Linked DNA regions of Oryzias latipes. The protein of the gene in region 1 purifies or fractionates together with the protein of each later gene. This does not show direct contact. Links are inferred from orthologs where the notes say so. Each region holds a gene or a part of one and is shown on either strand. Other genes may lie near its edges. The genes, in order: succinate dehydrogenase [ubiquinone] flavoprotein subunit, mitochondrial; sdhaf2.

Evidence for each region.
Region 2: the proteins of succinate dehydrogenase [ubiquinone] flavoprotein subunit, mitochondrial (region 1) and sdhaf2 purify together in Homo sapiens (co-immunoprecipitation; 3 studies listed by BioGRID and IntAct, counting the BioPlex papers as one, with this or other methods). This does not show direct contact. The link is inferred for Oryzias latipes from reciprocal best matches to the Homo sapiens genes SDHA and SDHAF2.

Annotation. Positions count from the first base shown.
Region 1 is NC_019874.2:14,714,597-14,719,187, forward strand, and holds the start of succinate dehydrogenase [ubiquinone] flavoprotein subunit, mitochondrial, read right to left. Parts: upstream 2,938-4,591; 5' UTR 2,894-2,937; coding exon 2,831-2,893; intron 1,444-2,830; coding exon 1,360-1,443; intron 1,235-1,359; coding exon 1,073-1,234; intron 973-1,072; coding exon 829-972; intron 683-828; coding exon 518-682; intron 404-517; coding exon 255-403; intron 157-254; coding exon 32-156; intron 1-31. Other genes in the region: ccdc127 (coiled-coil domain-containing protein 127), read left to right, coding at 3,628-3,811, 3,959-4,203, 4,314-4,591. UniProt on the Homo sapiens protein: Flavoprotein (FP) subunit of succinate dehydrogenase (SDH) that is involved in complex II of the mitochondrial electron transport chain and is responsible for transferring electrons from succinate to ubiquinone (coenzyme Q).
Region 2 is NC_019861.2:18,852,546-18,857,121, forward strand, and holds the start of sdhaf2 (succinate dehydrogenase assembly factor 2, mitochondrial), read right to left. Parts: upstream 3,097-4,576; 5' UTR 3,001-3,096; coding exon 2,974-3,000; intron 1,761-2,973; coding exon 1,537-1,760; intron 858-1,536; coding exon 748-857; intron 1-747. Other genes in the region: cpsf7 (cleavage and polyadenylation specificity factor subunit 7), read left to right, coding at 3,677-3,763, 4,142-4,345.

The DNA.
Region 1 (4,591 bases):
GGGTTTATGCAAAATGACTAAAGTTTCTCACCAGTGGGGTGAAACTGCACAAACTCCAAGTCCTGACAGGGCAGACCAGCTCTGGTCACCATGGCGTTTCCGTCTCCTGTGCTTGTGTGGGCAGATGTGCAGCTGAAATAGGTTCTTCCATAGCCTCTGGAAGAAAAAGAACAGAGCATAGAAATTATTTCCCAACATGTGTTCACTTCCGATAGCTCTCAAATAAACGAGAGGGAGTCACAGCGAAGTCTTACCCTGTGGCAATGACGGTGTTTTGGGATCTGAAGCGGTGAATAGATCCATCCTCCATGCAGAGAGCGATCACTCCTTTGCACTGCCCATCTTCCATCAGCAGGTCCAGAGCAAAGTACTCCACAAAGTAGCTGGTGTCATAACGGAGTGACTGAAAAGTCAAAATAAGAAAAACAGATGATTAAAATGCAGTTCGACGAGACCAAACAGCTAGAAAAGCTCTTCGGTGCTTTGAAAGAGTTAAGGATGAAGTAGATGGGCTCACCCTTCCATAAAGAGTATGCAGCAGCGAGTGACCTGTTCTGTCTGCTACACAGCAGCAGCGATGAGCCTGACCTCCTTTTCCATACTTCAGACTCTGACCTCCAAAGGCTCTCTGGTAAATCTTCCCATCCTCAGTGCGGCTGAACGGCATGCCAAAATTTTCCAGCTGGGAAAAGAATGCCTTACTCATTTCTGACTCTGTATTTTGCATTCAGGCTTAATTCTGTTTATTTGGCGTCAGCAGTCTTAAATTCAAACCCCGCAGACGCTCAATGACAACCAGCTCTTTAGTGTTTTTTCCAGAACTCCTACCTCCACGACAGCAGCAGGAGCCTGCTCCGTCATGTAATGAATAGCATCCTGGTCTCCAAGCCAGTCAGATCCCTTCACTGTGTCATAGAAATGCCACCTCCAGTCGTCATCCTCCATATTTCCCAGAGCCGCATTGATCCCACCCTGTGGAAAATCAAACATATTCAAGCCTGTCAAAGTCATCGGAAATTATTCCACATCCGTCTCATATCCATCCAAATGTCCAACTCCATCTTGTTCTCACCTGTGCAGCAACAGTGTGGGATCTGGTGGGGAAGAGCTTGGTGACGCAGGCAGTGTTAAAGCCGGCCTCAGACAGGCCGAAAGCGGCCCGCAGCCCCGCTCCTCCGGCTCCCACCACCACTGCATCAAACTCATGGTCCACCACTGGATACTGAGTGGATATCTGAGGGGGAGAAACAAAATTTTGATGTGACTTTGCATCATGAACAAGAACTTAGGCCACACTAGCAAAAAAAACAAACAAATAAAAAAACCCTAAGAACCAGTGCATCTAGTACCGGCACTCACGTCATCTGAAACTTTGGCATTATTCTTTTTGCCGTAGATGGAGAAGTGAAAGTTCCTTGAATTTTGAACTGCAGCAGCAGGAACCTGACAAGAGAGCAAGACGGCTTTAGTTCAAGAAGAAAGCTAACAAGAAACAACATACAGTATATTAATAGCAATAAAGATCTATCCTAATACAGATCCAGAAGACATGTTTTCATTTTCTTTTATTCTACTTTGCCCTAAAGCTCGTCTCCAAATGTATAAACTATAAGTAATGTGTAATACCAGATAAACATAAACAAAGTAGTTTTTTTAATATAGACATGTTACAATTTTTGAAAATGTAGTTTGTACAGAATTATGCTGTACATATAAATAAATGTATAAATAAATGTATTATGCTATACAATCTAGATAAAAGGTTTTCCTTTTACAAGTCATTACCTAAACCAACTTTTTTAAAGCTTTTAGGCATCGATAGCTCACCATTTGCCTCACTCCTTCAAGTTAAATTTGAGAAAGAAAAAGAAAAACAGCTGACCTAATAAAGAAATACAAATTACTGATTAAGAATAATCTGAAAGAGGGAAAAAAAAGCCTTAACTTAAAAGTCCAAATGATTGCCTGGGGTATTGATTTGGTATAAACATAAAATATTAATATTTTTTAGTTTTTTTCTTTGAGAAAGCCTCTGTCACTGCAGAGTCACTTACCAAAGTTATCTTAAAGGTTCGTAAATTGTTCTCTCTTATCTCTTCAAGTGCAATCGATTTCTGCAAAGTCAACATGTGGAACTAAAATCTGCACTACTTTTGTTTCCCACCGAAATTAAAATAATTTACACTTTCCGTGTTGAGTGATTTATTATTGTTGTTAGTTGTTATTATTATTTTTAACGACTATTACTTTTAATGTTCATCATTTCTCAGTAGTGCTTTAAGTGACTGTTCATACCGGCATTTTGCTTTTTAATCAAATAAATCAAAATACTGGACGTTTTTTGGTTAACTGCGCCATCGGGCTAATTGGCACAACTACAAGACCAGCAAGTTTAGCAATGTCCTTCTTTTAAGAGGCCAATTGTATTTAATGAATAACTTCATTATATATACAATAATAAGTACGACCTGCGCTTAAAGCTAACATTTCACTTTAGACGAAATCCTCCATCCATGTGTGCAACATTTTAGTTTATAAAGTAATCCCCAAAAAAGTGAATGTAAGAGAGCATGTATAAACCATAAATAGGAATATAAAGTAAACTGGGAATTATTCTGGTTAAATCAGCAACAAAACGCGTTGTTTCTTATGTCACATTGAGACACCCTATGCTACATAATAGATTACGCAAACCGTAACCTAGCCGTTATGAAAGCTAAAGACTGGCTCAAACTTAGACAAACAATGATCACACGAACACAAATGAATTGGTGCAAACAGATAAATGTCTGTTCAATTTAATTTAGTTTGTCAATAATTCGTTACTCACTGCTTTAATATTAGAGATCGCCCTCCTGGAAAGGAGACGAGACGCAGCGCGAACACTCGCCATGTTGCCAGCTCAGAATGTTGAAGCGCTGGTGGGGAAGAAATATTCTGTGGGACTGGACCAAACCATTCAGTAAATATGGGGGGAAATTGATCAACTTGGCGATTGTTTTTCCCTCCTTAAGCTACAACTGTTGTATTATATACAAGAGAATTAATGCAGTCTAGTAAATTTAATACAATACATGAGTCAACCCAGTGACTTCTGAAAAATATAAATTTTTCAAAAGGCTCAGTTATATTTACCACCCCTTTACCGATGTGTGGACCGTTAAGGAGAAATACTTATACAAGCGGTGTATGTAGGAACAAGTTCTGAAGTGACCTAGACATTTTCTCCAAGGTGAGCAAAAACTTCATAGATTTAAGACAGATAATGTTCTGTTGTCGCACTTTAGACATGCAAATTATTCCATTTGGTATAAATAAAATGCTCAGGCGGTCACCACCCCCAAAGAAAAAGGTTGAGTTACTAATCAGCTAAAAACTAGCATGAAATGCTCTCAAACAAGTCAAAAGTGAAAGCACAGACCGATCAATGGGCTGTATTGTGTTGTGGGATTTCTAAACAAAATGAGTAAATATTTTTCTTGCCTTCAGCTGCTTTTAGCAGTGCTGTAGTGTAAAGTATAAGCTGTTGAGGAGTTAATCAGTGACTTCTTCTAGTGAGCCATATTTGGAGGTATAGATAAGTGAACTTATTTGCAGCAAAAGAAGTAAACAAACAAATAAACTAAGATGCTGTTGATGCTTGGCTCTGCTGTGTGTGTGTGTTTGTTTACAGCAGCAAGCATGAACAACCTGAACAACCCCCCCAGGTGGAACATCCAGCAAGACCCCAGGGGGAGGGAGGCGGGTGTAGGTGATGGGAACCCATGGAACTACGCCCTTTTGGTCCCCATGTTGGGGCTGGCTGCATTTCGTAAGTTTGATTCCCTTTTGCATTATAGGAGAAAGAGCAACATTTAAGGTATGTTGCTCAATGAACAAATCAAAATGATATTGATGCATCACTAAAACCTATCTGGTTTCCTCCTAAACTCTCATGTGCTCCTTTCTGTATTTTCAGGTTGGATCTGGACTAAAGAATCCCAGCAGGAGATCCAGAGGGTCAAAGACGAGTGCAGCAAAGATGTTTCCGCAATAAAAAGTGAACTTGAAGCGCGTTATCAGGAGACACTGACAGAAACACGGAGGGCGGCCGCCACGTTGGAGCTGGAGCTGGAGAAGGAGAAGCAGAGAGGAGAAGGCTACAGGCATGCAATAGTGTCACAGAGGCAACAGCTTGTAGTAGAACAAAAAAAGTTGCAGCAGGTAAAGAAGACCTACAGAGCTCTTTGCTTTTAAAGTTTGTATGCTTTTGTGTTTCTTTTCCTAATTCTAAAGCCTAACCTTGACCCAAACACCTTCTACTTCCTTACAAGGAGCGAGATGTGTTGAACGGAGAGAAGCAAAGGTGGCTGACATCTGGCGCCGCTGGTGCGGCTCTGCGCGAAGCCCTGGAGAGGGAAAACAACTGGTGTCTGTACGCCACAGCCACGCTGAGGGAACTGGAGAGTCAGCTGATGGAGCGGCAGGATGCTTATTGCTCCTACATCCAACCTCGAGATCAGCGGCTGGAGATGGAGAAGAACATGCTGCTCAAGGTTGTTAAGGACCCTGCTGTAGCAGAACTTGGTCTGGAGTCGGACCTGAAGGACAT
Region 2 (4,576 bases), on another chromosome or scaffold:
GAGCCTGTCGGAGATCATCTCGGTTCAAATTAGGACAATCTGAAAATAGTATCACGGATGGCAGACACAACGAGAATTAAATATGAATTGTGCTCTTGGTGAAAATAAGAATATTTTTCTGTATATTGGTAATAAAGACACTACACAGGATTGTGTCCCTCTTAATATGTAATCTTGAAATGTCCTACTATGGATGCCCATGTGTGCCTCCGATATAGGGATTATTAATTAGATGAAAGTTTGTGTGCTCTACAGTGAAGCCTCTGCCAAAAAATGATGCCAACATAACAAATTTTAATATTTTATAATGTCAACAATTCACATAATGACAATGAGTGGCTTTTATCCTCAATTTTACCTTTTTTATTGACGTTTTAAATGACTCTACTTTTCTTTGATGTTCCAAATCAACTGTCCTTGATCTCTACATTTGTATTTTTTGTATAAAACAGCAGCCAAGATTTGAACCCCCAAACTTTAATTATGCTGAGAACAACGAAACTGTTATAAAAACATGGACATTCAATGATTTGAAATTGAATTGATTTTGTCCTCATGTTTACAGTATGAGCTAAATTTGTCTCAGATCAAAATCCATTGACTGCTTAACAGCTATTTTAAGTTTTATTGTTTGGGTCTAAACTATTCTCATTTCACGCTGGAGCTAGAAAGCTTTTAAGTTATAAATGAAATGTCCCAGAAATTAACAAACACAAGATTAAAAAAACAAGAGAATGAATATCTTACCTGTGGCCCAGTAGTAGATGTCCCAGTCATTGCTTGGTTCATTAATCAGTCTGTCGTACTGCAGCAGCTGACTTTCTGTCATTGTATTCAGGTATCGCTTTGCAAAAAGACTACAAAAGAAATTAGAATGCATTAAACCCTTTACTCACTTCCCTGAATAGAAATTCATAGATACTCCGTAGAGATGATTTCATTGCACATGAAAGAACCTTTCGCAATGACGACAAAGTAAAGGAGGAAAATTAAATTTGTTGAAAAAAAAAAAAGCCCAAACAATTGTCCAAAAATATACAAAAACTAAATCATGGGAACGGTGTTTTATTAAGGAAATACTTTATCAAGGAAATATTTGTTTAAGACGACAGTAAGTAGAACCTGCATGAAACTGCAAAAAAAAACTAAAATAACTAAGGACAATTACAGTCTAATTCATGGCGTATACTTATATAGCGCTTTTCTACCTACAAGGCACAAAGTGTTTTACAGTCACAGACCCAGTCACACACACATTCACACACTGGTGGCGGCTCCGCTGCCAAACACTGGCGCCAACCTCCCACCATGGGCAAGATCGGATTCAGTGTCTTGCCCAAGAACACATCGACTCATGGGCGTGCAAGGCGGGAATCGAACCTGCAATATTACGATCATGGGTCGACCGCCCTACCGCTGCACCACGGCCCCCCAAATTCATGCAGAATTCATGCAGAATAATTCATGCAGATGTCGTAAGGAGAAATTCTGAAACAATAGGTCTCTGGGATCTATTGTACCAGACTTGACATCAACCTGAGCAAGATGCAGTTCTCCAACATGCCCCTCTTGCGACTTTCATAAAGAAGCCGGCGTCTCTTGATGTTGATGGGCTCGTCTGGCTTTTCCAGCCATGGAGGCAAAGGGATCTCAATCAGGTCAAACTTATTGTCATCAGGAGCGTCTCCACGGTAACCACGGGATGAAACCATCCCTGTGATGGCTGGTCTCCATGATGCCTGACACAGTCCTGTTACAAGCTGGAATGAATCACACACAAAAAAGGACATCAGAGAAACACCTGAGTATTCCATTGTAAACCTATGATAAGTAAAGACATTTGGGTTGTTTTACTTTTCAAGTAAGGAAAATGAATTTGCAGGATAAGTAGCTAAGCTGAGTATGGGGGTTGTCATAGTCTACCTCCAGAATTTAATAGTTTTGGAGGATGGAATGGTATTTCTGACCACGACATCAATGAACACTTGTGGGAACAGTTTGGGGGTACTGCTTAAGCCACAGTGACCAACGCAACCACGTAAACCGACTTGCAACAAACGCCGGATGAAAGATGAAGTGCCAGCTGCAGCAGTGTGCAATGATGCTAATGAGCAGCACGAGGAGGAGTCAGGCTGTTGTGACTGTATACGCTTCTTCCACACACTTTATAGCCTCTTGTATCTTAAATGAACAGGTACTTTGTTGAAATGTCTTGGTTGTTCAAACTTAAATCCTCTTCTGCTTTGCCGCTCATTACACACAAGCATTTTACTTAAAAGCGTAGCACTTTAAAAAAAAAAAAAACTTTTTTCTAACAAGCACACCATTCCTTTTTGAGCTAAGTTTATTTACCTTTCAACGTGATGTCATGTTATGCAATCACTCTTTTAGCCCGTTTCATTAAACTTTGTTTAGGGATAGAAAAGGGCTACACATTTAAACGTTTTTTGCTAAGACTTTTTGTAATGTTTACTGGACAATAATCAAATCAAACTTTATTTATATAGCACCTTTCCTATTAAAAACGTACGAAAACTGTTTTACACTAAATCACTAATGTTACACGAATGTCTTTAATAGCTCATACTTTGCCTAGCATATCTAAAAGTAAAATTTAATTAAATTTTAAATTATAAGAAGTTTTGATCATTTTTGAAAAAGCTCTCCAGCAAGCAGAAAGTGACATTAAGCCAAGAGCACTAACATCAAACAATTCCCCTCAACTAAGATATTCTTAGGTAAAACATATACATATAATCAAGGATTTAAATCAAGGACATTACTTTTGTCTTCTCCGTTTCTGTACGAACAACGATGTTACACTTTGTTTGGTTTGATAAAACACGGTCGTCGACGAGACAATTACATAGCAGGGAACAATCTCTCTCAACGTGCTTTTTAACCCACTCTAAAGTCTGACTGTTCGGCAACCGTGTTTTAAACAAGTAAATAGTAAGTCAAGGAAAAACTCACTCTTTTCGCCACAAGACCAGACAACATCTTCACCTTCCTTGTGTAAAGTTGACAGATTGTTGTGCAATTACACAAGCAAATCTGTGCGTCGCCTTCAAAATTCCGACTGAAAACTCACGTTGGCGAATTTTACATAACTACAGACACTTTAAAGGCACTCATTCACGTAATTATGCCCAACTTCATGAAAAAAACATTTTTAAATGTCGGAATTGCGTTACTCTAAATTTTTGGTGTGTAAATGCAACTGTTTTAAATCAAATCGTAATAGGAACTTTAAACTAGGAACTATGTGTGGAATTTACTTTCTTGCCGGTTGGTAGTCACTGGTGCGTTCACGTTTTCACTGAAATGCTAAAACGTTAGCAGTAGCCAATCAGCAAGCGTGTATTCAGTAGTCTGGCATGGAATTGTTGTGCATTTAACGTGAAACGTAGTACACGTTTTATTGATTATTGATTTAAAAAGCCAATTTAGATCATTTAAATTCCGGTTTATTGCGTTTGGTGGTAGTTATCAGGTGAATTGTTCGCAAGCCTTCCGCAGCAAACGTTAACATTGTTTTAACTGTTAATGCTAGTAGTACTAGCGGTGCCTCAATTCACAAAGAAAGAGAATTTCTACAGACAGTGCTTGTAAAAACAGACTGTAAATTTTGTGGGCGGAAAAAAACAGCGCGAACTGCACATCCGAGGTTCTCGGAATGGCTGCAACACAGCTTGCAGCCGGATCATCCAGCACATCACAACAAGACCTCGATGACATATATGATGGCTTGAACGAACCAGAGGTACGCTAAAAACATTTTCAGAGTCAATAATAGAAAAAAAAACATGCACCTAGTTCGTTATATTGATACCACTTCGTTTGTGACAATGTATTTTCTGACAATATACGAACAAAAAAACAACAACTCGGATTTCTTAAGAAATGAGGAAATCAACGGTCACACTAAAAATATGAGGGTAACCTTACAGTTACCGTATATTTTAGAACAAATTGCTAGTTTAAATCCCTATTTCTTTTGACCATTTGAAAATATAAATTGTATGTTCATACCAGTGAGATCCTGAATTTGACATTTATCTCATTGTGTTTACTGCAGCTGTCTATGGACAAATGATATAAAACTATGCCTGATTTTTTTTATTATTATTATTCTTTACAGGATTTTGATAAAATTGCAGAAGCAAATGAACTTTTTGATGCCGTTTTAACTGGTTCTGTCAATCAAGACAAGAAGACATATATCAAAGAGGATGCTGCGCAGCACGCCCAAACAAAGAAAGATGGTAAATCCATCCAAATGGAGAAAACAGCTCAAGGAAATTCAAAGAGGAGACTGGCTATCTATATTGGAAATTTTCCCTGGGTAAGTCTGTAAAAGCGAAAGTAGAATTTAGCATTGAGCATCAGGTGGGTGCAGTCATTTTCCTCCTGTTGATGAGGTCCAAAGCACCTTATGGTAAAAGAGGCACCTGTTGCTAAAATTAAAGAATCGTATTGTTATAATAAATGGAAGAAAATTAAAATGTTTTTTTCAAATCTTATATTTGACTTTTTGATAACGTTTTTACTTTTTCTTAAAGGTGAAACTTTCTTC